Notamacropus eugenii: one gene and its partner. The protein of the gene in region 1 binds, or shares a complex with, the protein of each later gene. Links are inferred from orthologs where the notes say so. Each region holds a gene or a part of one and is shown in the gene's direction. Other genes may lie near its edges. The genes, in order: STBD1 and GABARAPL1.

Region 1 (12,830 bases):
ACTTGGGCATGACTATGTCTTGGAGCAGGGCTTCTTAACCTGCAGTCTGTAGATTCCCAACAGGTCTCAGCATAGATTTCAGAGGATCTGAGAACTTGGATGGGGAAAAATGACAGGTTTATTTTCACTAACCTCTAACTGAAATTGAGCCTTGCTTTTCAAGCATGAATGTAGGTGACAAACCACAGTAGTATTAGAACTGCCTGTGCTTCATTATCGAAGAGGACCAATGACATCACTTGACTTGCAAATAAATTGGATTTAAGTGAGGCAGAGCTGTGCAAAGTCACCAGCCTCACTCTCTCCTCCAGTCACTGGAGTCCAGTGACAAGACATAGGTCAGGACTACTGGTGATGGCCCAGGATGCAATATGAGACCTTGCCCTTTTTAAGACCTTAGGGTCTTTCCCAGGTCTCAGTGATTAAGGCTAGGTAAGCACTAAGGTAAAAGATGGCCTAATTTGGCTTCACAAAAGAATCATTCAGGGAAGGGAAGACCCTCAGAGTTTCTGGCCAGAACACAAACAATTGCTGTTTACCACTGCCTATGACTATTGCCAATAGAAATCAGAGATAGTTTCATATCACATTACATTTGAAAACTGATTGAACATTCAGCATGGCATGCCTGTTACCTGGTGTCAAAGAACACCCCACAGTTTAAGTTCTTACTAAGGATAAGCAACTCACACCCATACCCACTAAATATTCTCCCTCTCTCTCTCTCTCTCTCTCTCTCTCTCTCTCTCTCACTCTCTCTCTCTCTCTCTCTCTCTCTCTCTCTCTCTTTCTCTCTCTCTCCCTCTCCCTCTCCCTTTCCCTCTCTGTCTCTCTGTCTCTGTCTCTCTGTCTCTCTTTTGAGTGGTCTTCACACTTGTCTGCATTTTAAATGCATTACTTTATAATTTAATGTGTTAATAAAATACATATATTACTATATCACAAGTTTCAAAAATATTTTGATAACAATATTTCAAAATAATTGGTCTTCTTTGTAATTCTATGTATTTTATTTTATGCATTTAAGAATATTATTCTGAGAAGGGGTCTATCAGACTGAATCCCTGCCATAGATAATTTCTTGAGGCAGTGAGAAGCTAAGTGACTGTCCCAGGGTCACACAACCAGTATGTGAAGGAGGCAGACAAAGTCAAATGCAAGTCATGTCATCATTTCTCTGATGGCATGGTCTTCTTCAGCAACGAAGGACAAACACAATCCCATGAGTAGGTGCAGCTGGCTGAATGCAGCTGGGTAACTCACCTCCTCTCCTGTCTGCCTCCCCCTCCCCTTCCTTCTCCTCTCCAAAGGAAGGTAAACTTGGATGGCCAAAAGATGCCCTGTTGACTTGGGTTTTACTGGCTCCTTTCCTATTACCCTTCCCTCTCCTCCCCTCCCCTCCCCTCCTTTCCTTTCTCCTGTCCTGTCCCCTGTCCCATCCCTTGTCCTGTCCTCTCCCAAAACCTTAAACCTACTGCACTCTGAAACTGGGACTCCATTGAGGCCCTGCCTGAGGGCTTCTCTGGACCCCTCTAGCTTGAGAGTGATTATCAATAATAATTGTTGCTCTTTCCCACCCAACCTGATATCTTTCTTTTTCTCGACCTCATTAAAGGGGCCATGCCCTGGCTACTTCTTAAACAGGCCTATTCAATGAATGGGTGTTGCCTCACCCTAAGTGAGTATCTGCAAACACCTTGGCCTAAAGGGCCCAAGGTCTCCCAGTGCATCCTGGGTCATCTCCAGTCATCCTGAGGAATATCAGGTCTCTGGATTCAGATGACTGGAGGAGAAGTGAGGCTGGTGACCTGCACAGCCCTCCCTCACTCAAAACAAAGTCAAGTGCAAGTCACGTCCTGATTTCTCTGATGGCATGGTCTTCTTTGGCAACGAAGGACTAACACAATGGCATGCCTAAGGGAAAAGGGAAGAGGCAATGATCATATTTAACCTAGGCAAACCCAACTTATTCTTTATGCCGTAGGTTCTTAACCATTTTTGTACCATGAATCCCCTTGGCAGTCTGGTGAAACCTATTTGCTGTTTAGTCGTTCAGTTGTGTCTGACTCTTTATGACCCAATAGACCACAGCTGTTCATGGAGTTTTCTTGGTAAAGATACTGGAGTGGTTTGCCATTTGAGAAATCACCCTGCTTATCATTTCTTATAGTATTCCATCAAATTCATATACCACAACTTGGTTCAGTCATTCCTCAGTTGATGAACATGCCCTCAATTTCCAATTCTTTGCACCACAAAAAGAGCTGTTATAATATTTTTGTACATAGAGGTCCTTTTCCTTTTTTTAATCTCTTTGGGATACAGAACTAGTGGTGGTATTGCTGGGTCAAAGGGTATGTATAGTTTCATAGCCCTTTGGACATGATTCCAAATTACTCTCCAGAATAGTTGTATCAATTCACAACTCCACCAACAATGCATCAGTATCCCAATATTTCCACCTCCCCTCCAGTATTTGTCATTTTCTTTGAAATTCAAAACCCTTAATATTATTTTGCCCTTTGTTCTTTTTCTTTCCTCCTTTGTTTTTAAAAGCATCAATTAAATTTATTGATTAGAGCATCTATCATTCTTTCCTTCTAAGTTTTTACTTGGCAACATAAAAAATTTAACTAATTAATCAAGCCTTTTGTGAAATCTTGCAAAATGGTACAGCCCAAAACACAGCAGACCTATTAATTTTTGACCCTCTTAATGACTGGTGTCATTTCCTACACAACTGACCTAGCCATGGTAATTAATCAGTATCGGAATTCCGAGTGAGCCTGGTTGTGTGTAACCTAATACTCCAGACAACTCAAGCCACTGGAGCTTGCTATGGGAAAATTTCCCCAAGAAATATACTTAAAAATATTTTTTGACAGAACCAAAAGGATAGTTTAACAGAAATCTACACAGGTCTTGAGTCCATCTTTGATGGCACAAAATAGAGCAGTAGAACCTTTTTGTTTTTCCTTGAAAATAAAACAGATATTTTCATATTGGGTAGAATCTTCTGAAACAGGAAAGTCACATTATCATCCAAATATACATTTGCCATGGTGGCATGTTTCTATTTTTGTCTCATTGTACCCTCTGCTACCCATCATCCTTGTTTGGGGCTTATATTTCCCACTTGCCCTCGTAATTGATTTTCATTGAAAGGCAAAGTAGTGAGAAAGCTAGGCTGGCAATCAGGAAGACCTGGGTTCACGTTTCAACTGGAACACTTCCTAGGCAAGTGACCCTGGACAAGTCATGTCACCTCACACAGCCTCAGATTTCCTCAGCTGTGAAATGGGTACAATAATCCCAGCAAAATTATTTCCTGGGTCATTGTGAGGCTTAAATAAGATATGTCCTAAATGTGTTGCAGACTTTAAAGCTCTCTAAGGGTCAGCTATTGATATCATTAAGGGAATGTAAAGTAGTATTTAATCGTTACCAGCTCTGTCCCTTAAGCTTTGAGACTGCAGCTTGGCCAATTGCTTGGGTGTATGTATGGTTGTCAGGGGAAATTGCAATGGAGTCCCAAAGACAGCATTTACCTTAGCAGGTCAGAATGGAAGGGGATCTATAGAAATATTCTGTCCCATACTCCACAAATGCAGAGTCCTCAGCACAGCGTGATGAAATCATCAGCACTTATTGATAATATTTAAGACTAATAGAAAAGTTCCCACTGAGAGAGAGCAAAAGTGTTTGTTTTGGGGGTGAGGGAACCTGGGTTCAAATCCCAGCTTTGGTCCCTTTGGAACCCATTGTCTTTATCTATAAGATGAGAGGGTTGAACTAGACAGGTTAAGCCCAGATCCCTTCTAAATCTAGAATGAAATCATTGCTGTAAAAACCCTACTGCTATCACTGTATGTTGTGCACTTTGACAGCTCATAAACTTTATAGGGAGATTGCGGACATGTTGTCACTTGCAGTTTTGCTCACTGAAGTTATTTGGCATTCTTGCTATTCAGTTGTTTTCATTGTGTCCAATTCTTCATGACCTCTTTGGGGTTTTCTTGTCAGAGATACTGGAGTGGTTTGCCATTTCCTTTTCCAGCTCATTTGACAGATGAGGAAACTGAGGCAAAGAGGGTCAAGTGACTTGCCCAGGGTCACACAACTAGTAAGTGTCTAAGTGTCTAAGGCCAGATTTGAACTCAACTTTCCTGATTCTAGGCCCTGTGCTCTATCCGCTGTTCCATCTAGCTGCCCTATGAAGTTATATTCCCTTTAAAACGAAGGATCATCTACAGATGTTCAATATTCATTTGACATTTTCTCTTTAAACATTTTACTGATATTTCATTCAGCTTTTCAATATCCTCTTGGGATTTAAGATGAAGAGTGCTGGACTCAAAGCATCTGTATTCAAATCCCACCTGCTTGAGGTTTGGCAAGTCACCCAGTCTGCCAGCCCCAGTTTCCTCAGCTGTAAAATGACAGGGTTGGACTTGGGTGTGCTAGTAAATATTTAATGACTAACACTCCAGTAAAAAAAAACAACAGTGTAGGACCACACACTCCTAAGTCTGACCAACATCATGAACATTTTCTCCTGTACTTTCTTAAGTCTATACAATCAACAAAACAAGCAAACAAAAGAAGAAAGACTTGAGTTATAATGTTTGCTGATTCCAAAGGGTAATGCTCATGATGGAAACTTAACAACTGGCTCTCCCAAGTTAACATGAGTTGGCTCTAGCACGGTGATGATTACACTCAATGACCTCTAAGTCTCCTTCTGGCTCTCCATCTATGAATCTATGATTCAATGGTGGGGAACACCGTGACTGTCTTCATAGTTCATGCATTGGGATCATCAACCTTAGAAGCCATGTGATACAACCCCCTCATTTTATAGCTAAGGAAACTGAAACCTACAGAGGTTATGTGACTTGCCCAGAGTTACTCAGGGAATAGGTATTACAGACAGGATTCAAATCCAGATCATCAGGCTCCAAACTCAGAGCAATCTCACTGTATCCCACTGCACCTTTGCCAAAATCAGTTCTCAGGTGTTTTTCTAAACAAAGTTCTTGTATATTGAAGAGGAAATGAGTTGTTGCATAATCAGATTTAGACCATGATAGACATGGGGTTCTTCAATATTTTACCTTTTTTCTTTTTCTTTTCTTTTCTTTTTTCTTTCTTTCTTTTTTCTTTTTTAGCATTTTAAGCTAACCCTTCTTGTTAAACTTTACAGAGTCTTTACCAGGGAAACCAGGGGATCTAGGTGTTGGTGGTCTTGCATTTTAACTTAAATGGACTCCTGGGAAGGAGAAAGAGAGGATAGAACACCTATCTGTGAAATTCCTTTCCCATAAACATAGGATTTAGTGGATTATAAGAAGGAAATAAGCTGTAGATTTACCAATGTAGATGACTTAGTGCCATTGACATCTGTTAAGTGTACTTACTAAAAGCACAAGAGGAAAATATTTATCTTCTCAGAGAATAATGTACTGTATCAATAAGCTCCCCAACATACACAGGGGGCCTGCTATCACAGGTTCTTAAATCTGCATTTATAAAAGGAAAGGCAACTTTTGAGAGGTTAACAATCTCCTTTAATCAAACACATACATCATTCACTTAGTTCAGGAAATCAACAGACAGCACTTCAAAACTGTTTGACGTAAGCAATCCATATATCACAAATCAACAGACAGGTCCAACTGTCTGACCATAGTTACCAGAGAGGGAAGCACCAACATCTGGGTTTTCAAAAGGGGGGTGGCAGGAGATGGCTGCTTAATGGTTTCCCAGAGTCTCATCTGGCATACAAACCTTCTTCCAAAAACTAAACCCCAAAGTAAAATCTCACCCTCAGAGTATTTATACCTTTTTTAGAGTCAGAGGGCATCCCAATCCTTGACCATCAGTGCCTCTTTAACAAAAAGCGTGGGCCTTCCTACAAAACTCCCCTAATCAAAACCTCCTTAATGGGCAGGTCCATTAATGGGTGGGAAAGATATTTAATCACATTAACAATACAAATATATATATGTACACATATATCTACACACACATGCACACACAAACATACATACACACACATATCTATCTCTCTGTGTGTGTACACAGAAACTCTTGTTTCTGTATTTTTCTCCTGGGACTCTTGGTTGATAAAGGCAAGATTCAATCAAAGGCATTATACTTCTTGATTATACTAAAACAAAAACAGCAAAAGATCCTACTTTGCTTGCCCTTACATGTACCACAAAACCTGCCACCATAATTCAGTTCATTCTATTTAAACCATTTGTCAGAACTTGCTGAGCACTGTCTTAGAGAGTAGGAATAATAAAAGAACAATAACAAAACAATCCCTGCCCTCAAGGAGCTTATATTCCTCTGGGGGGATTGCAGTGTAGGAACATGTATGAGGTGGAAAGGGCCATCTAGTTCAATCCCCTCTTCTGACAGATGAAGAAATTGAGGTCCAGACAGTGAAAAGGACTGAACAAAGTCACTTAGAAGTACAGGTAGGATTTGAACCCAACTCCTAATCCATCTCCAAATCCATCGCTTTTTGAGATTCATTATCCCTGCCAGCATCAGAGATATTGGAAATTATGCCCTCAAATCATTTTAAAAGGTATTCCTTTGGGGGAGGGAGATAGAGATAGCCTCCTTCCCATAGTAGGAAACTGGCCCTGTAGGCAAATCCCCTGGGATTTCAAGAGTCCAGTGCTCGGGGATGGATAATAAAAGGAAATTGAGATGCAAGTGGGGCAAAAGAGAAAAAGAAGCAAGCCATCTCGTAGCTTTTATTTTGTTTAATTAAGTTATTTAACACAACTAAGTTCAGTCGTTTCCACACTGAAAGAGTGTAAGGGCTAATAATTCCCACTGAATTTCAGGGCACTGGTGCAAAGCACATTCACCCTATCCTAGTTACGGTTGGCAGTGAATAGGGGGAGGGGCTGCTAATTTAAAAGAAACTGTACCTTTTCACCCTTAAATAGATGATGCTTTGATTCCTCCTCAAGAACTACATTCTGTCGGGAGGAGGCATGTCGATTTTTTTCTGGGAATTTCCCTTCTCAACAAATCAAGAAGCATTAAGAGCTTACTGTATGCCAGGCATTGTGCTAAGAGGTGAAGATACAAAAAAGGCAAAACCCAGTACCTGTTATCCAGAAGCTTACAGCTGAAAGGAGGAGACAACGTACAAATAGCCATGTAAAAGTAATATGCAGGATAAACTGGAGAAAGCCAACTGATGGAAGGCACCAGCATTCAAATGTTCCCATTAGAGTCAACAAGCATTTATGAAGCACCTATTATGTATTGGGCAGTTTGCCAAACCCTGGCCATAAAAAGAAAGGTAAAAGACAGTCTGCTTACAATGTAATAAGGGAGAGAACATGCAGCCAACTATGTGCAAACACGATATAGACACGATAATTTGGAGCTAATCCTCTTCCCCCAAATGACAAACACATCAGGGAGAACCCTATGCACCTACTATAATTCAGCTTCCAAACTCTGAGTCCTTCCTTTCACAAATGAGGAAACTGAGTTTCAGAGAGGTTAAGTGCTAAGCAGGGTAGTTGGGGCTCATTTTCTCTTCATTTCCTTTCAAAGGAGTGCTCTTGTCACTGGGTTTCTACAGATGCTAGATCACCCCTGAACATTGGCTTTCATAGAGGCAGACAGGCACCCTGGATTTCAGCCCCATGATCAGCTCTTGCTGGGGTGCTGTCCAGCGAGCTAGAACTAGGACCTAAGACTGAGGAGCCAGTCCAAGCAAGAGCAGTGGGGAACGATTTGGGAAAGGGGAAGGTAGGGAGGAGTAAGGTTCTTAAAACTTGACTTGACCTTGTAAAGTGCAGAGGAAGAGTCAGGGACGGCAGTAGGAGGAGAACGTGGGGGAGGATAATGTCAGACTTGGCTGCAGTGGCAGATACTCCTCCTCCCCATCCTCATTCCTTCTCCCCTCCTTGCTCCCTCCCCTGCACCCCGTCCTCCTCTCCCTCCAGTGGCCAGCTTCTGAGACTGAGGCCTGGAGAGGTGACAATGGGGCGGGGCGGGACAGGGGAAAGTTGAGCTTCTGCTAGGGCGGGGAGTCAGGAGGGAAGGACCAGGGCTGAGATAAAAGGCAGGCTGGGGTGGGGACGCTCTGCGAGCAAGATCCGCCCCGCTCTCGCTCCCGTCAGGGTCCCCGGTCCCCGCGGGCGTCCGGGCTCAGGGCATCCCCCTCAGCGCTTAGCCAGCGGGGCCGTTAGTGTGGAGCTATGGGCGCTGTCATATCTGCGCTGCTGGTGGGAGGAGGTCTGGCCGGTGCGCTCTTCGTTTGGCTGCTGCGGGGAGATCCCGGGAACCAGGATGCGGGGACCGGGGAGGGGCGAGAGTTGTCGCCAGGGGAGGCAGTCGCAGTAGCCCCGAGGGGGGACGGAGGTGGAGATGGCGGGGACCCCCTTTGCTCTAAACATGAGCAGGTGGCCCAACTCCGGGAGCAGAGGGGCGACTGGAACGTGAAGAAAACAGCCGAAGGTACGTGGGTACCCTTGCCCGCACCGCTTATTTGGGTGTTGACAAATCTTTAGGGAGCCCAAAGGAAGCCGGAGATGGGTGGGAAGAGGGGTGCGCGGTGTGGACACACCCCTAACTTTGCCTGCCGCACTCAGTCCCTATTTTTCCCTGGGTACCTTGCGTCTGGGCCAGCCTGGTTTGTGTATCGACGGGGATCTAAAGGTCAAAAGCCCAAAAGCCCCAACCTTCCCATTCTTGACAGGCAGTGGGGTCCAATGGGAAGAGGCAGAGGGTCTGAAATCAAATATTGGCTCAGCCGCTTATTACCTCTGCGACTTTGGGCAAGTGACTTCAGGCCCGGAGGCCTGGGTTTCTTCATCTATAGCTGGAGACTGGGACTACGGTGGATCTAAGATCTTACAGTCTACTTTCCCCCTTGCTCATCAGGGTCCGCCACCCCTTTCCCGGTGCTACTTGATTAGAGGTGGGGTGGTGGTGGGATGCCTCCCCTCTTTCTGGACCCTGGGCCCTGAGAGGCCGAGCTCAGGCTGAGCAGAACCTGCTTCACGTGCTTTCTTTTCCCAGTCACCACTGCACCCCACACCCTTACCCAAACTGGGCAGAAGAACCCAGAAACCCCGAAGGACGGTCCCGCCCCATCCCTTGCGGCTGGGAATTGGGTTTGGGACCCCTAGCCAAGCTATCTCTTCTCTGGGTTTGACTACTTGGGGAGGGAGGCGGTGCAAAACCATCCAAGCTAAATCTGGGACGGAGGCGAGTGGCAAAGAAGAGCTTGGTCGTCCCGGGAAAGTCTTGGACAGTCCCCCTCTAGAGTTCTGCAGACACTCCCCCTCCCCACCCCCGCCCCTGGCCATGTGGCAGTTAGCTCAGAGAGACTTCTTATTTATTTCAACAAACATTTGTTCTCGCGACCCCAGTCCGAAACTCTTTCAGGGAATCCTAGTTGTCAAAACTATTTTAATAATAATACTAAGACGTTATTAAAATAATATTCCTTTATACAACTGTATATGCGTGACCTGGGATTTTCTTCATAAAATTCAACCAAAATAGAACATTCATGCAGAGACAGAGATGAGAATCCAGTTGCATTCTATTAAGCCAGACTTTTGCAAGAATATGTAAAACTGCCATTTTTTCCTCACTGATTTTTTAGGAAAATATTTTTCTTTTTTTTTCCTTTTTTAAATGGAGTCTTTTTTAAAAAAATTAATTTGTTTTCAGTTTTCAACAGTTACTTCCATAAGTCTTCAATTTTCTCCCACTCCCTCTCCCCTTCCTCCCTGAGATGACTTGCAATCTTATATGGGTTCTACACATACATTCTTGTTAAACACATTTTCACATTAGTCATATTGCATAAAAGAATCAAAATGAATGGGAGAAACCATGAGAAAAACCAAAACAAAACATAACACAAGAGAAAAGAGTCTGCTTCATTCTGCATTCAGTTTCCACAGTTCTTTCTCTGGATGTGGATGGCAGAAAATAGTTATTTTTCATTAAAAGATGTTATTTATGTTAACATAAGATGCTATTTTATATTATAAGATGCCATTTATGTAATGAATTTATTATTATTATTTTTTAAATTAATAAGTATTTTAAACATGTATCATCAGTTTTAATTCCTAATGCAGTAAATCTATTGATCACTAGTTATAACCCACAAAAATGAAAAGTTTTTTGGGTCCCCAATACTTTTAAGCATGTAAAGGAGTCTTTGATAATTTTTAAGACTATAAAGGGATTCTGAGACCAAAAAGGTTGTGAACGATCACTGCTCTAGACAGCCCAGTCTGGAAACTGGTTGTTTGATGGGAAGGTCAGAGAAGGGATATGGGAGTGTGGACAGGGAGAAATGAGATTGCAGTTAGGACACCTAGGTTTGAACACCTAGGTTTTACCTACAAATCTGGTGTCCAGGGACATGTCACTTCCATTTTCTGGGTGGCACTATCTTGATCTGAGGGGTTTAGATCAAATAAAGTCTAAGCCTCTGTCCGTTGCAAATTTTGTGAGTGATGCCGTCTCTACTGGTGGATGAACTATTCTTGGATTCCATTTTTATGGTCAAATATACCTTTGTATTCTGAAAGCAGGGTACTGGGGACAGGGTCCCACAGGGGATGCTCATCTGCAGAATGTGCTTGATTGATTTTAATTATAGGGTTTTCTACACTGTTACTTTAAATTCTTCTGTTCCTATGTGGATATTTTTTCATCAGAACCTTTGGTTTCATTGGTATAGGCAAACTCCTTCTGTCCAATACCGATACACTACTGCTCTGCAATTTATAGTCCTGGAAAATTGCCTAGGGCATAGAGAGGTTAGACATGCCCTGAGTCACACAGTCAGTGTGTGTCAGAGATAGAACTTGAAAGCCAACTCCATCCATTACCTTGGCCTTTAGCCCCCAAAAAAGAGTAGGAAAACTTCCCATAAACATGCTCAGGTTTATGCCATCCCAGATCCTCTAACTAGGATTCTGTGTCTTTCTAGCCATTGACTTCCAAATCCTTCAGCAAATCATCTACAATTTATATCCCTGTTTCTTTACCTTCGACTGCCTTGTCAATTCCTTTTACAAGCTGGCTTTGTAAGCCATTCTACTGAAATTGCCCCCAGAGTTAGTCATGATCTCTTGATTTCTAAATCTGATAACCTTTTCTCAGTCCTCATCATTGACTTCTCTGTAGCTTTTGCCACTGTTGACTACTCCATCCTTCTGGACACATTCCTCTTTCTTTCCAAAATACTGCTCTCTCCTAGTTCTTCCCTCTGCTGCTCCTTCTCTCTGTCTTGTTCACTCTATTTTCATCTCTTGCCCTCTTACCTTGGTCATTGCCCAGGGCTCTGCCCTGGACCCTTTTCTCTTCTCTATATGTACTCTTAGAAATTTCATCATTCACCCATTCCCTAGGTTCAGGTATTTTTATGCAGATGTATCCCAAATACATGGACAGCTAGGTGGTGCAGTGCACAGAGCACTGAGCCTAGAATCAGGAAGACCTGACATTAAATCTGGCCTCAGACACTTACTAGCTGTGTGACCCTGAGCAAGTCACTGAACCCTTTTTGTCTCAGTTTCCTCATTCATAAAATGAACTGGGAAAGGAAATGGCAAATTATTCCAAGAAAATCTCAAATGAGGACACAGTCACATAGGACTAAAAATGACTAAACAAGAAATCTCAAATATGCACTTCCAGCCCTAATCTCTTTCTTGAGCTCCAATATGCATAAGTCAACTTCCTGCTAGATAATTCCTTATCTAAAATGGACCCCTTTATTCAAAGGTATTAAGAGGTTCAAATAGATGATAAGCATAAAGCACTTTGCAACCCTTAAAGTGCTATGTTAATATTAATAATACTATTACTGGTCTCCAATCTGATGATGAGCTCATTTTGCTGTTTTCTACAGTGCTCCTCATGAGCTGAAGCAACTGTTTATAGAGCAAATACAAAGGTGTAAAGTAAATGTTTAATAGCTAGGCTGGGTGTTGGGGGCAGGGAAGGGGATGTATATGCACACACTTCTAAATTTAATTTGCATTGTTAGCACTTTCTCAAGCCTAGACGATCAAACCCTGACTTGTGGGGTTGTTGATTTCTAATGTGTGAATGCTCACAATGAAAACAAAACCATCAGCTCTCAAGCCCAGTGGTTAGAGCTGGCTTCAGCATAGAGCCCCTGCCTTTGTTCTCTCTCTCCCTACCTTACCTTCTCAATCTCCCAAAGCCAATCAGTTGTCAAGTTTTGTCAATTCTATCCCCCCTACTCCTCCCCCCAATTTTTCTTGTAGGATGCTCTTATGTCTACCCAACACTCTGGTTTTGACCTCCATCAATTCTTTCCTGGACTATTGCAACAACCCCCTTATGGGCCAGCCTCCTCTGGCCTCTCTTCCAGTCCACATTCTGCCAAAAGATCCATTGTAAATCACAATCTGAGGGTGTCACTCAAAACTCTTCAGTTGCTCCCCAGTGACTACAGCATAAAATCTATGCTTTTTTAGCTTGTCTTAAGTGGAGGGCTAACTCCACACTCTGTTTCCAGATCCATTTCTAAATTAATTTTTATACTACTCTCTTACAAACTCTATATCCCATCCAAACTAGCCCATTTGCTATTCCCTGAATTCAATATTCCACTTCCTGCCCCCTTTCATTTACACAGGCTGCCTCCCCAGCCTAGAGTTCTCCCTCCTCCCATCTCTGACTCAGAACTCTTGTTTTCCTTCATTGTGCAGATGCTTCCTCTCTGTGAGATCTTCATTGATTCTCTGAGCTGGTAGTGTGTCTTTCCTCTTCTATTTTCATATACA
Region 2 (12,348 bases), on another chromosome or scaffold:
AGACACAAAGGTCATCTAGTGCATCCTGGACTGTTGCCAGTCATCTTGACCTTTGTCCTTCCACTGTACTTTGATTGTTGTTTGTCCATCATTCTTGAAGAGGACCATGACATCAGGAAGATGATGCCATGACTTGCAAAAGAATTGGATTTAAATGAGGAAGGGCTATGCAAGTTCACCAACCTCACCTTCTCTTCTGGAACCATCTGGGTCCGATGGCAAGATATAGATCAAGATGAATGAAGAAGGGTCCCCTCACCCTGGACTTTGATAATTTGGGGAGAGTGAGGCTGATGACTCAGTGCAACTCTGCCTCGATTATACAGCTCACATCCAAGTCAAGACATCACCCATGATTTCATTGGTCCTCTTCGAAGTCAAAGGATGAGCAACAACCAGGGACCCAGCCTGTGGTAGGCCTGCACTGTTAGTCTGTCTTCTGTATTGATAGTCTCTAAATCAATGCCCTCTGGTTGAAAGCCCAGAAGTCAAGAGTTACATTGATCATTTGAAATTCATTAAAGAGAAAATGTAGTCTTTGTTCAAGACGATAAAGGCACTGTGCTATATAGCTATAACTTCTCTAGTTTCTGTTGTTTTTTTAACCTATCAGACTTTACAATTATTTCTTCAGTTTCCAAACTGAGAGTTCATTTAACGCAATATGGATCAAAAACATGATATGATAGAAAAAAGTATCAAAGAAAAATATTAATACTGTACTATGTATTTTATTTTTTTCATATTTCATATTTTTTCCAGTTATATGTAAAAACAATTTTTAACATTCATCTTTTAAAAATCTGAGTTTCAAATTCTCTCCCTCCTTCTTTCTCTTCCTCCCTACTTCAGAAGGCAAGTAATTTGATATAGGTTGTACATGTGCTATCACACTAAACACATTTATGTAACAGTCATGTTGTAAGGGAAAATACAAACAAAAACAAAAAAAGTAAAGTAAAAAAAGTATTTTCAATCTGCATCCATCAGTTCTTTCTCCAGAGATGGACAGCATTTTTCATTACAAGTCCTTCAGAATTGCCTTGGATCAGTATTGCTAAGAATAGTTGTCATTCATAGTTGAGCATCATAATATTGCTGTTACTGTGTACAATTTTTTCCTGGTTCTGCTCATTTCATTTTGCATCAGTTCATGTAAATCTTTCCAGGTTTTTCTGAAAACATCCTGCTTATCATCTTTTATAGCACAATAGTATTTCACAATCATATACCACAACTTGTTCTGCCATTCTCCAACTGATGAGCATCCCCTTAATTTCCAATTTGTTGCTCCATAAAAAGAGCTGATATGATTTTTTTTTGCATTTAAATCCTTTTCCTTTTTGTTCTTCATCTCTTTGGGATGCAGACCTAGTAGTGGTATTGCTGGATCAAAGGATTTTATAGCCTTTTGGGCATAGCCCCAAATTGTTCTCCAGAATGGTTAAATCAGTTCTCAATTCTACCAACAATGCATTAGTGTCTCAATTTTCCCATATCCATTCCAACATGTTGTTTTCCTTTTTTGATAGGTGTGGAGCACCCCAGAGTTATTTCAATTTGCATTTCTGTAATCAATACAGATTTAGAGAATTTTTTTCATATGACTATAGATAGCTTTGATTACAGCCTCTGAAAACTGCCTATTCATATCCTTTGACCATTTATCAGTTGGGGAATGACTTGTATTCTTACAAATTTGCTTCACTTCTCTATACATTTGAGAAATGAGACCTTCATCAGAGACAACTGTAAAAAATTTTCAGTTATAATTACTGTGTATTTGCCTCCCCCACCCCCATTTACCATACTCTTTCTCTCCTTTCACTCTGCTCATCCTTGAAAGTGTTTTGCTTCAAGACTACTGCCTCCCCCAATCTGCTCTCCCTTCTATCAGCAGTACCTCACCCCCTTCTCTTATTCCCTTTCCCTCCTACTTTCCTGTAAGGTACAATAGATTTTTATACCCAGCTGAATGTGTATGTTATTCCCTCTTTCAGCCAATTCCAATGAAAGTAAGGTTAAAGCATTCCTCCCCATTTCCCCTATCTTCCTCTCCACTATAAAAGCTCCTTCTTACTTCTTTTTTTGAGGGAATATCCCCCCATTCTACCTCTCCCTTCCTCCTCCCAGTGCATTCTTTTTATTATCTTTTTATTTTATGTTTTTAGACATCATCTCATCTAAATTCATGCCCATGGCCTTTATGTACATTCCTTCTAATTGCCCCCAAAATGATAAAGTTCTTACGAGTTACAAGTATCATCTGCCCATGTAAGACTATAAACAGTTTAATCTTATTGAATCCCTTATGATTTCTCTTTTGCGTTTACCTTTTTATGTTTCTCTTGAGTCTTGTATTTAAAAGTCAAAATTTCTATTCAGCTCTAGTCTTTTTATCCTCTATTTCATTGAATACTCATTTTTCCTCCTGAAGGATTATAACTCCATGTTGCTCATAGTTTAATCTTGGCTCTAATTCTAGCTGCTTAGCCCTCCAGAATATCACATTCCAAGTTCTCTAATGTAATGTAATCTTCTGTTAGCCTGATTATGGCTCCACAATATTTGAATGGTTTCTTTCTGAGTGCTTGTAATATTTTCTCCTTGACCTGAGAGTTCTAGAATTTTGCTATGATATTTCTGGGAGTTTTCAATTTCATTTCATTTCACCTCTCAGGAGGTGATTCTATTTTACCCTTTGATTCTAGGATATTAGGGCAGTTTGATAATTTCTTGAAAGATGATGTCTAGGCTCTTTTTTTGATCATGGCTTTCAGTAACCCACCTTTGGGCAATGCAACAGAGTCCTTTACCCAATGCTAACAAAGGGATCTCTGTAATCTCCTTCTGACCTCCTTACCATCGGTGGGCTGAGAGCTCCAGAAGCCAAGTCCATTGCCCCCAGGTCTGTTGCTTCTTGCTGAGGGGTTCTGCCTTTGTTGGACTGATCTCCACTCTCATTCCAGTATACCAGACCTTTCCTGCTGACCTTTTAGGTTATCTTGGGCTAGAAAATTGTTTCACTCTATCTTTGTGGGTTCTGCCATTCAGAATTCATTCTGAGACATTATTTTACAGTTGTTTGAATGGGAATTTGGGAGAGGTCAGGCAGGTCTCTGCCTTTTTTCTACCATCTTGGCTCTACCCTCTCATTTCCATATATATTTTTATATATATTCAAATATTCTATTTATCTCTATATATACATATATATTTCTTCATATCTCTATATTTTCTGCATATATAGTATGTCAGGAATAATTTTATTTAACATTAAATACTAACAGTATACAAGTCATTTCTAAATTGAAGAGAGAAATATTCAAATTGGCATAGTTCCCCCACGTCCTTAAACAAGTCTCACTTCCCAGAAGAATTTAAGGAAACTTTTATAGGAATTTTGAACAAAGAAAATAAATTTTGGGTTAATATTCTATTTCAACAGATGGAACATAGTCAATTGATAACCACTTACATCTTTCTTTGACCACTCCCCTCAAGTATGTATAGTCCTATCCCATGACCTCCTCCCCAGATCCATATCATAATTCTTTTAAATGGATAATAGGGGCACTACCCTTAGGTGAATTACAGCCCAATTGCTTCTGAGGGTTGGGAAGCTCATAGGTAACCTCAATTAAAAGTTTGGTTTTCATTCTTAATCAATTACTTTTGAATAGGGAGAAGCTTAGAACGTTTTTTTAAGACAAGAGAAATATTTTTTCTTAATACAGTTGGTGAAACTGACAATAAGGCTTTTATGCTTCTACAAATGCTAATGTATTTCTGACTGTATTTAGAAATATACAATATCCATAAATAAAATGATGAACATGTTCTACTCTGCCACGATCAGATCACAACTACATCATTGTGTTCATTTTGGGGTGCCGCACTTGGGGAGGTATTATAAAAAGCTGAGAGTTTCAGAGAATGGTAACCAGGACTGTGAAGAGCTTAACATTCATGTGATGAATTAAATGAGTGAAAAAGGATTTAATAAACTTTGCATATGTCAAATATTGTTCTAGATATTTAAGAACATAAATATAATGAAGTACCTTAGTCCTACCCTCAAAGCGCTTAAGTTTGAGGAATGTTTCAGGATGGAAAAGTATTATTTCTTAATATTTTCAGGTGAGAAAAATATAATGGGAAGGTAGAAAGAGGGATGAGGTTAGATGCAGAGGTATAGTTTGGAAATGGCCAGAAAGTGGCATGATGGCCCGTTTTCTCGCAAAGTGAGTTAAAAGCTCGATACATGCCAATCTGCTGAGTGAACCTGTAATGGCTAACATGGAGATAAGGATGCTTGGCAAACATCATAGCTGTCTTTAGGTATCTGAAGATCTGTCACATGGTAGATGATTTGATTTGCCCTTTGGGGCAGAACTACAGGGAATGGGTAGGAGTTGTAATGCGGTAAACTTAGCCTTAATGTACAGAAAGACTTTCTAACAGAGATCACAAAGTGGAAGGGGTTGCTTTGGAATGAGTTGAAGAAAAATATTAATGACTATAATTTTGTTTTAGCCTCAAGTCTTTCAGAAAACAAATTTTATTCATTTAACATTATTCTAAATCCAGTCTATGCGTTAGAGAAAGAAATGACCAAATAAGTAAGCTCCCCAAACCCCATTCCTTTGGAAATCTGTCATCAGACAACTTGAGGTAACAGGAGTCTTGATTAAGGAAAAGGACACAAAAATATTAAAATACAATTTTGGTTTAGCATCCTACTGTATCAAATAGAACAATAGTCACTTAATAACAACCCATTTCCTTCCTTGACCCCTCAAGAGTTCTCCAGGAGTAAATAAAAGGAAACACCCTTTAATCAAAATCCTAATCCTTTCAAAATGGGAACACCAGTGATCTTAAACTGGCCAAGTCAATTTTTTTGTTGTCCTAAATTGGTTACCACATCTAATCCATTTACTAAGGCCTTAATTTGTAGGCTTCCCCTAAAAGGAAAAGTTTGAGAAGGGTTTTGGCTGGAAAATATTATTTTTTAATATTTTCAGCTGAACTAAAAAAAAGAGGTTTTTAATATGCTTCCACAGATGCAATCAGTTCCCTATCACTGGAGGTCCTTAGGCAGAGAGGCAGGATAACCACTTAATTGGATTTGTGGGAGGAATTCTTTCTGAGATACATGGTGAACTACATCAAAGGGACATTTCAACTCAGTTTCCAGTGATTTACAATTTTAGGAGTGATTGGCTTTTCAGAAAGTTTCTTCATAGGTCAGCTAAAGCAAGTCCTCGGTCCCCAAGCACCACTGAATCTGAAGGCAGAAAAACCCAGTTTGAATTAGAGGCCTACTAAACGCCATTTGACCTTGGCCAAGTCAATTAATTCTTCTTGGTCTCAGTTTCCTCATCAGTACCATAAAAATAATAATAACTGCACCATCTGCCTCCTAGATTGTTGTCAAGGGAACCATGCAAAGGAACATTTTAACCTAAAGCTATTTAAATCAAATCTTTTATTAGTCTAATGCTATGGAATTTTGTGATGCTGCGTTTATCCCCCTGGTTACCTCCTCTCCCCAATTCGGGCCGGTGGCTGCTGACAAGTCTCTTGGCAGACAGTAGTGGGTAAGGCCCAGTTCATCCTCATCACATGATTTCTGTTTTTCTTTCTTTCAGCAGTGAGGCCTTGCAACACTAGTGATTCTAAGAGGAGGGTGGGGAAAGGGCTGGAAACGAGGTTTGGAAGAGTCCACTAAAAGGGAAATTCTACTCCAGCACCTTAGCCTCTCTAAGCCAGGATTGCATTTTTCCTCATTCTCTATCCTTCTAAAGCCCTTAGTCACCTTGTTTATGTGGTTCCTCAGTCTAGTAATTTGCAGCTAACAAACAAAAACAATACATAGAAGTGCGCAGGCAGAATCCCTGGGTAAACTGAGAGGACCCTCAGAAGAAAGGCCGAGAGAACACTTAAAGATTTCTGTATCTGCCCCACACGTAGCAGGTCTTCCACTCCCACCTCCTCACCCCTCCACCCCTTACTTCACACCCCCAACCACAGCCAGCCACCCCAATGTGCTTAGAAAGGCTGGACTTTAATCTCTGGTAACTGCTCCTGGATTCAACCAAAAAAACCCCACGACGAAGTGGAGGGGGAGAAGTACGCATCTTTGGTACCTTGCCTTAAGACATTCCGTAACGAAAGAAACAAATAGCGTTTTAGACCATACGAGGTTTTGATTAAAAAGATTTGGTGAAGGATTTTTTTAAAAAGGAAAGTTAATATCGTGGGCTCATTTGAACAACATTTTCGTTGGCCCCCGGTTCGGAGTCAGCACCGGGACGGGTCTAGAACATTGTGAGGGAGGGAAGGGCGGAGCTTTGTGACGTCACAATACCAGGCTTGCTACTGTGTTGCCTGTGTGTTCCCGGCTCTTCCAAGAACGCTGCAGGATTTCCCCACCCCCACGCCGGCTCTTTCTCCACCTCCCAGCCCGGGCCAGCCGGGGCCTCAGTTCTGAGCGCTCTCCGCGGACTGGTGGAGCAGAGCGGGCAGGGCAGCAGAGGTTGGCACCGCTAAGGCTCTTCGTATTGTACTTCGACCGGGAAAAGACAGACTCGGCGAAACCATCCACTCCGCTTAAGCCAGGCCCCCCAGGGGAGATCGGAGACGCTGCGGAGCATCATGAAATTCCAATACAAGGAGGATCATCCTTTCGAGTACCGGAAAAAAGAAGGGGAGAAGATTCGGAAGAAATACCCTGACAGAGTCCCTGTGAGTGGTTTGGGGGCCTGGAGAAAGGGTGGGAGGAAAGGAAGAAGGAGGGGGAGGGGATGGGGACGCGACAGCTCTCTGACCTGAGGAGCAGGAAGGGTCCTTGGAAGACATTTCGTCTCCAATTCCCTAATAATGTAAACTGGATATCCCTACTGATGACATCCCGCACCCCACCGTTAGTAGCAGAGGCATAGGGGGCTTCTAAACTGAGCATCAGCAGAGAATGTGTGTTGTTGTGAGTCTGAGGAATGGGGGCAATGCACCATCACTGCCTTGATACGTGCGTGTTCGGAGATGAAGCCCAGTGACTCAGGAGTGCGCCAGGTGCGTTTGTGTAGGTGGTGCTTGTGTTCAAGATGCGGCGCTCTTGTGTGAGAATGGGTAGGATGGGGTCTTTTCTTGACTGCATGGAAGAACGCCAAGAGAAAGCTGTTGATCAGGGTGGCCACCATGGCGATGGCTCTGCGGCTTCGCCCTGTTTGTTTATGTCCTTTCAAGGGTTTATTCAGCTCTGGTTCCATCTTCGGGCTTCTAGACCTTTTGTCCTTGGAATTAATTGGGCGGGGGAAGAGAGACATGGGCTCCTTCCTCTCTTAAAAAAACACAAGACCGAACCGGCTTGGCAAACAGGGGCATAATATCTGCGCAGCAACCAGTTTGCTTCATCATCCTTGGCTTTAGAATTAACGCATGTTAGGGGGAGAACAGCTTTTTTCTGGTGACTGTTTTGCCTTTGACCAGACTGACTTGTCACAGAAAATGCAGGAGTTGGGGGTGGGGAGAGTTCTTCTTTCAGCTCTAATTTATCATATTTTCTGTCCCTAACACCCTGCTGCGCCACCCCCACCCCTTTCTCTGTGAGGGAACATGCTGCGCCTCTGTGAAAGTGGGACTGTTTGGATTTGGGGAAAAACAGGTTCATATGGAGGTAGGGTGGGGTAGAGGGAGCATAGACCATAGAGTTTGGGAGGTATGGGTGCAAAAACTAGAGGTATGGAGAGGAAACAAAAAGAATCAATGAAAAATGTTTTAGTGCTTTACCCAGGCCCTGCTCCCTGCAGAATAATTGAGGCCTTATTGATTGACATTACTGCTGCAAAATTTAGAAGTCAGTTAATCCAGGATGGAGATCTGGAAGTAAAGATAATGGGGATATGAGGCATTTATTTTTATAGCTTTTGAGTTCCTAATGTAACAGCTGAGACCTTCTTAAGACTGACGTTTCTCCAAGCAGACTAGTTGAGGTAGGTTTGGAAACAAGGTAGGCCATCTTGCCACATCTGGATCCAGTTATAGAATGTCAGTCACCCTCTCAAAGGAGACTAAGGAGGTCCCCTTTCCAGTCACCTCCCACATCTCCTGCAGGACTCACTGGTTAGTATTTGGTTAGAGGGAAAAGATGACTGAGTAAACAAGTTCTCTTCTTGACTTCTTTGAAGCATGTGACATTGACTGTCCATCCCTTTCTGGAATTTTGTGACACTATTTTTGGCTTTTGTTTTATTATTGATTCTCCTGCCTTATCCACTCTCCACTTATCCCCTCCTGCATGTCTCCTAACTTCTACACCATGCTCTTTAACTTCTCTATACATTCTCTTATGCTACTGGGGATACAAAGGCAAGTGATATAACCTTTGCCATCAAGGGAGACAACATAAATAAGTATACAAAATAAAATCAGTGGGGGGAATGACACTACCAGTTGTGGAAATCAGGAAATGCTTCCTATTGAAGGTGGAAATTCAGCAGAATTTTGAAGGAACATTTTATAAGACTGACCAGGTGAGATGGGAGTGCATTCCAGGCATGAGGGACAACCAATGCAATGACATGGATTTAGGAGACATAGTTTCTTGTGGGAGAAATAGCAGTTTGACTAGACTTTCCTTTAGCCTGTATCAAAGGAAGTCTTGATTTATTGATGACCTCAGTGGCCTCAGGCAAGTCATTTAGCCCTGTTTGCCTCAGTTTTCTCCTCTGTACAGTGAACTGAAGAAGGAAATGGCATACTGCTCCAGTATCTTTGCCAAGAAAACTCCAAATGGAGTCACAAAGAGTCGTACATGATTGAAAAAATGACTGAACACATGGTGACTCCCAGATCTCATAAAGTCTGAATCTCTCTTGATCTCCAGTTCTCCATCACAAACTGTACTGTCTCTTTGATATTTCAAACTAAATATGTCCAAAATGTCTTCCTTTGTCTTCCAAACCCACCCCTGTTCCTTCCAAATTTCTCCCAATCTAAAGGACGCCATCTTTTCAGCTATTTTATTGTTGTTCAATCTCATCTGACTCTTTCCCTGACCCCATTTGGGATTTTCTGGGCAGAAATACTGAATTGGTTTGCCATTTCCTTCTTGGAGGAAACTGAGTCAAACAGGGTTAAAGTAACTTGCCTGGGGTCACACAACTAACTATTGGTGTCTTAGGCCTGATTTGAACTCAGAAAGGGTGAGTCTTCCTAACTCTAAGCCCAGTACAGTTGCTATCCAACTACCCATCTTTTTAGTCAACCCAGGTTCATAACCTTGAATCTTCCCCTTTCCCTCACCCCCCTATCCATTCTGTCATTATCTTTCATGCTTATTGGCCTTCTACAATACCTTTTTCATCTGCCATCTCTCCATCCTAGTTCGTAACAGTATCAGCTCTTGCCTGGATTTGAATAGCCTTGAAATTGGTCTTCCTACCTCTAGTTTCTCTTCACTTCACACTGGAATCCAAGTGATTTTTTTTTAAAGTTTGGATCATGTCATTTCAGTCACTCTGGTGGTTCCTATTATAACTCCAGAATCATATCCATGGATGGGGAACCTGTGGCCTCCAGGTCACATGTGGCTTTCTAGGTCCTCAAATGTTGTGCTTTGACTGAATCCAAACTTCACAAAACAGATCCCCTAAATAAAAGGATCTGTTCTGTAAAACTTGGACTATGTCAAAAGGACGCATCCAAGGACTTACAGGGCCTCAGGTACCACACCCCTGATATATCTTAAATAACAACTTTGCCGAAATCGACCTTTCCAGCATTATTATACAGTACTCCCCTTCCGATATGCTAGTCTAGTCAGACTTACTTCCTTACACATAATTCCATTTATTTACCTTCTGCTTTGTTTACTGGTCGTCCCCATTGCCAGACCTCTTTGGCTCCAAGGTCATGCATAAGGGCCAAATTTTAAATGAGGCCTTTTCCAGTCCCCCCCAGCTGTTAGCAGTGTTAAACCCCTTGCCATCATCTTGTATCTATTTTTGTGCGCACGTGCATGCACACACACACACACACACACACATACGTATACACACATATATACACACACATGGTCTCCCTTCCTCCTTCCTCCCCCCTCCCTCCCTCTCCCCCCAATAGTAGGTAAGCTCCCTGAGGGGCAGTGTCTTGTTTTAACTTTTCTTTTGCTATTCCCAATGTTGAACCCAATGCCTTCACACTTACTAGGCCCTAAGTACATGCTCCTGAAATTGATTGATTAATCATTTTGCCCTCTCTGCCTTAAGCTGATATAATAGAGTACTCATTCAGGTTTTCAGGACTCACCTAATCAGTGTTGGACTTCATAGTTTGTTATCTCTCAAAAGAAAGGGTTGGGCTGGGTGACCTAAGGGCCTTTCTAGCTTTAAACTTATGAATCCCCTCATTTTACTGATGAGGAAACTGAGGCTCCAGGAGCATTAGGTGACTTGCTCATGGTCACAGTTATAGCGCATAGTCCCCAAGTCCTGATTAAAGTCTGATTTTTCTACTGTTAATAAGTGGCCTCACTTATTAGTCCTGTAATTTGGAGCAAATTCTCCCTGAAGACTTTCCTCATTGGTAAAAATAGAATAAAATTGGTTAGTCCCTTGATTTGTTAGGCTCTATACTTTCTTCAGTTTGGAGACCTTCATCTTTCGATGTTATGTCTGTGACTTAATAGCTGAGCCACTAGTCCCAGGGCTTTGTCCAGAAGAGATATAGTTCTGTGATATATATTACTATAATGTACCAGGTACTGTGCTAAGTGCTTTACAAATATTATTTCATTTAATCCTCACAACAACCCTTGGAGGTAGGTTGTTATTATTACCCTCATTTTACAGTCAAAGCAGCTTAAGACAGGAATGGGTTAAGTTACTTGCCCAAGGTCACACAGCTAGCAAAAGTCTGAGGCCTGATTTTAACTCTAGTTTTGCCTGACACCAGACCCAGTGCTCTATCCACTCCACCAAACATGTCCAGGAAGTCATGGTGGCATGAGCCCTTTATACCAGTCTTAGAACCTAAATATTAGTATATTCTCATTCATATAGCACTTTACAAAGCATTCTTTCCTACAAGGGCCAGTTAGGTAGTGCGGTGGATAGAGTACTAGGCCTGGAGTCAGGAAGACTCATTTTTCTGAGTTCAGATCTGGTCTCAGACTCATACTATGTGACCCTGGACAAATCACTTAACTCTCTTTGCCTTAGTTCTTCATTTATAAAATAAGCTTGGAGAAGGAAGATGGCAAACCACTGTGGTATCCTTGCCAAGAAAGCCCTGTGTGGGGTCACGAAAAGTCTAAAACAACTGAACAGCAAAAATGATCACATTAGCCATTCCACAGGATCTTTTATATGTTATCTGGGTCTATTTTCCACTCAGCCTCCCCAGTAGAATTCCTGGCATCTGTGTTTAGCCTGGAACGCCAACCAAAAGCTTGAATTCCCTCTCCCTCAGAACCATCCAAGGAGAATAGAATGAGACTATGGGGATGAAGGATAGATAACACATGCCTTTTTCAACACCAGATTTTGGGTTTCTTCATTCTCCAGCCATTTTTATGGTCTCTAGCCTGCCTCCTTGCCCTCTGTTATCTCAGTGTGATTTGTCCTGCCATTTCTTTCCCTTAACTGAAACTAGCTCCTGGGAATCACAATGAAGCCTGCCTTTTGACTGGGATGCACTTTGTCATTCTTTGCAGTCAGTGAATAAATAATTTATTGTTTCAATTCTCCATTTGAGTAACTTTGAAGGAATTATTTCCAGAAATTTGGCCCACCTCCTCCTCATCCCTGGTTTCTTATCTCCAATGTGCTATCCAATATACTAAAAAAATCTGATCCCTTCCATTCTTCACTGGTTCTAAGCATCTGACTGTCCTTCAAGAGGCCTTTCAGGATGCCTAAGAGAACTTTTTTGATTATTCCTCCTCCCCAAGTCATTATGTATTTATTTCATATGTTCCCTGTATTTAGTTTTCTGTGACTGACTTGTATTCCCCCCAAATAGAATGTAAGCTCCTTTGAATACCAAGACAGACTCCCTTTTGTATTTGTGTCTTCCTATCTACCGTAGCATCTAGTGCATAGGAGGTTTTTAATAAATGTTTGTTGATTTCTTCACATAGAGTTATGCCACTTCCCACCCACACACTTTTGCAGCTTTTCTGTTTTTTCCTTTCCTTTTGAAATTTTTTTGGGAGGTAGTTGTGGTTAAGTGATTTGCCCAAGGTCACACAACTAGTAAGTGTCTGAGGCTGGATTTGAACTCAGGTCCAATGCTCTATCTGCTGTGCCACCTAGCTGCCCCTTTTCTTTCTGCTCCTTGGCC

Evidence for each region.
Region 2: the proteins of STBD1 (region 1) and GABARAPL1 are in contact, whole or in part, in a crystal structure (PDB 8X8A), measured with the Homo sapiens proteins. The link is inferred for Notamacropus eugenii from reciprocal best matches to the Homo sapiens genes STBD1 and GABARAPL1. Residues at the interface, in NP_003934.1 of Homo sapiens: Glu201, Glu202, Trp203, Glu204, Met205, Val206, Pro207, Arg208, His209, Ser210, Gly213; in NP_113600.1 of Homo sapiens: Glu17, Ile21, Tyr25, Asp27, Arg28, Pro30, Val31, Ile32, Lys46, Lys48, Tyr49, Leu50, Val51, Pro52, Asp54, Leu55, Gly58, Gln59, Phe62, Leu63, Arg67, Phe104.

Annotation. Positions count from the first base shown.
Region 1 is NC_092878.1:150,996,454-151,009,283, reverse strand, and holds the start of STBD1 (starch-binding domain-containing protein 1), read left to right. Parts: upstream 1-8,065; 5' UTR 8,066-8,240; coding exon 8,241-8,499; intron 8,500-12,830. UniProt on the Homo sapiens protein: Acts as a cargo receptor for glycogen. Delivers its cargo to an autophagic pathway called glycophagy, resulting in the transport of glycogen to lysosomes.
Region 2 is NC_092874.1:200,016,938-200,029,285, reverse strand, and holds the start of GABARAPL1 (gamma-aminobutyric acid receptor-associated protein-like 1), read left to right. Parts: upstream 1-5,968; 5' UTR 5,969-6,660; coding exon 6,661-6,750; intron 6,751-12,348. UniProt on the Homo sapiens protein: Ubiquitin-like modifier that increases cell-surface expression of kappa-type opioid receptor through facilitating anterograde intracellular trafficking of the receptor. Involved in formation of autophagosomal vacuoles.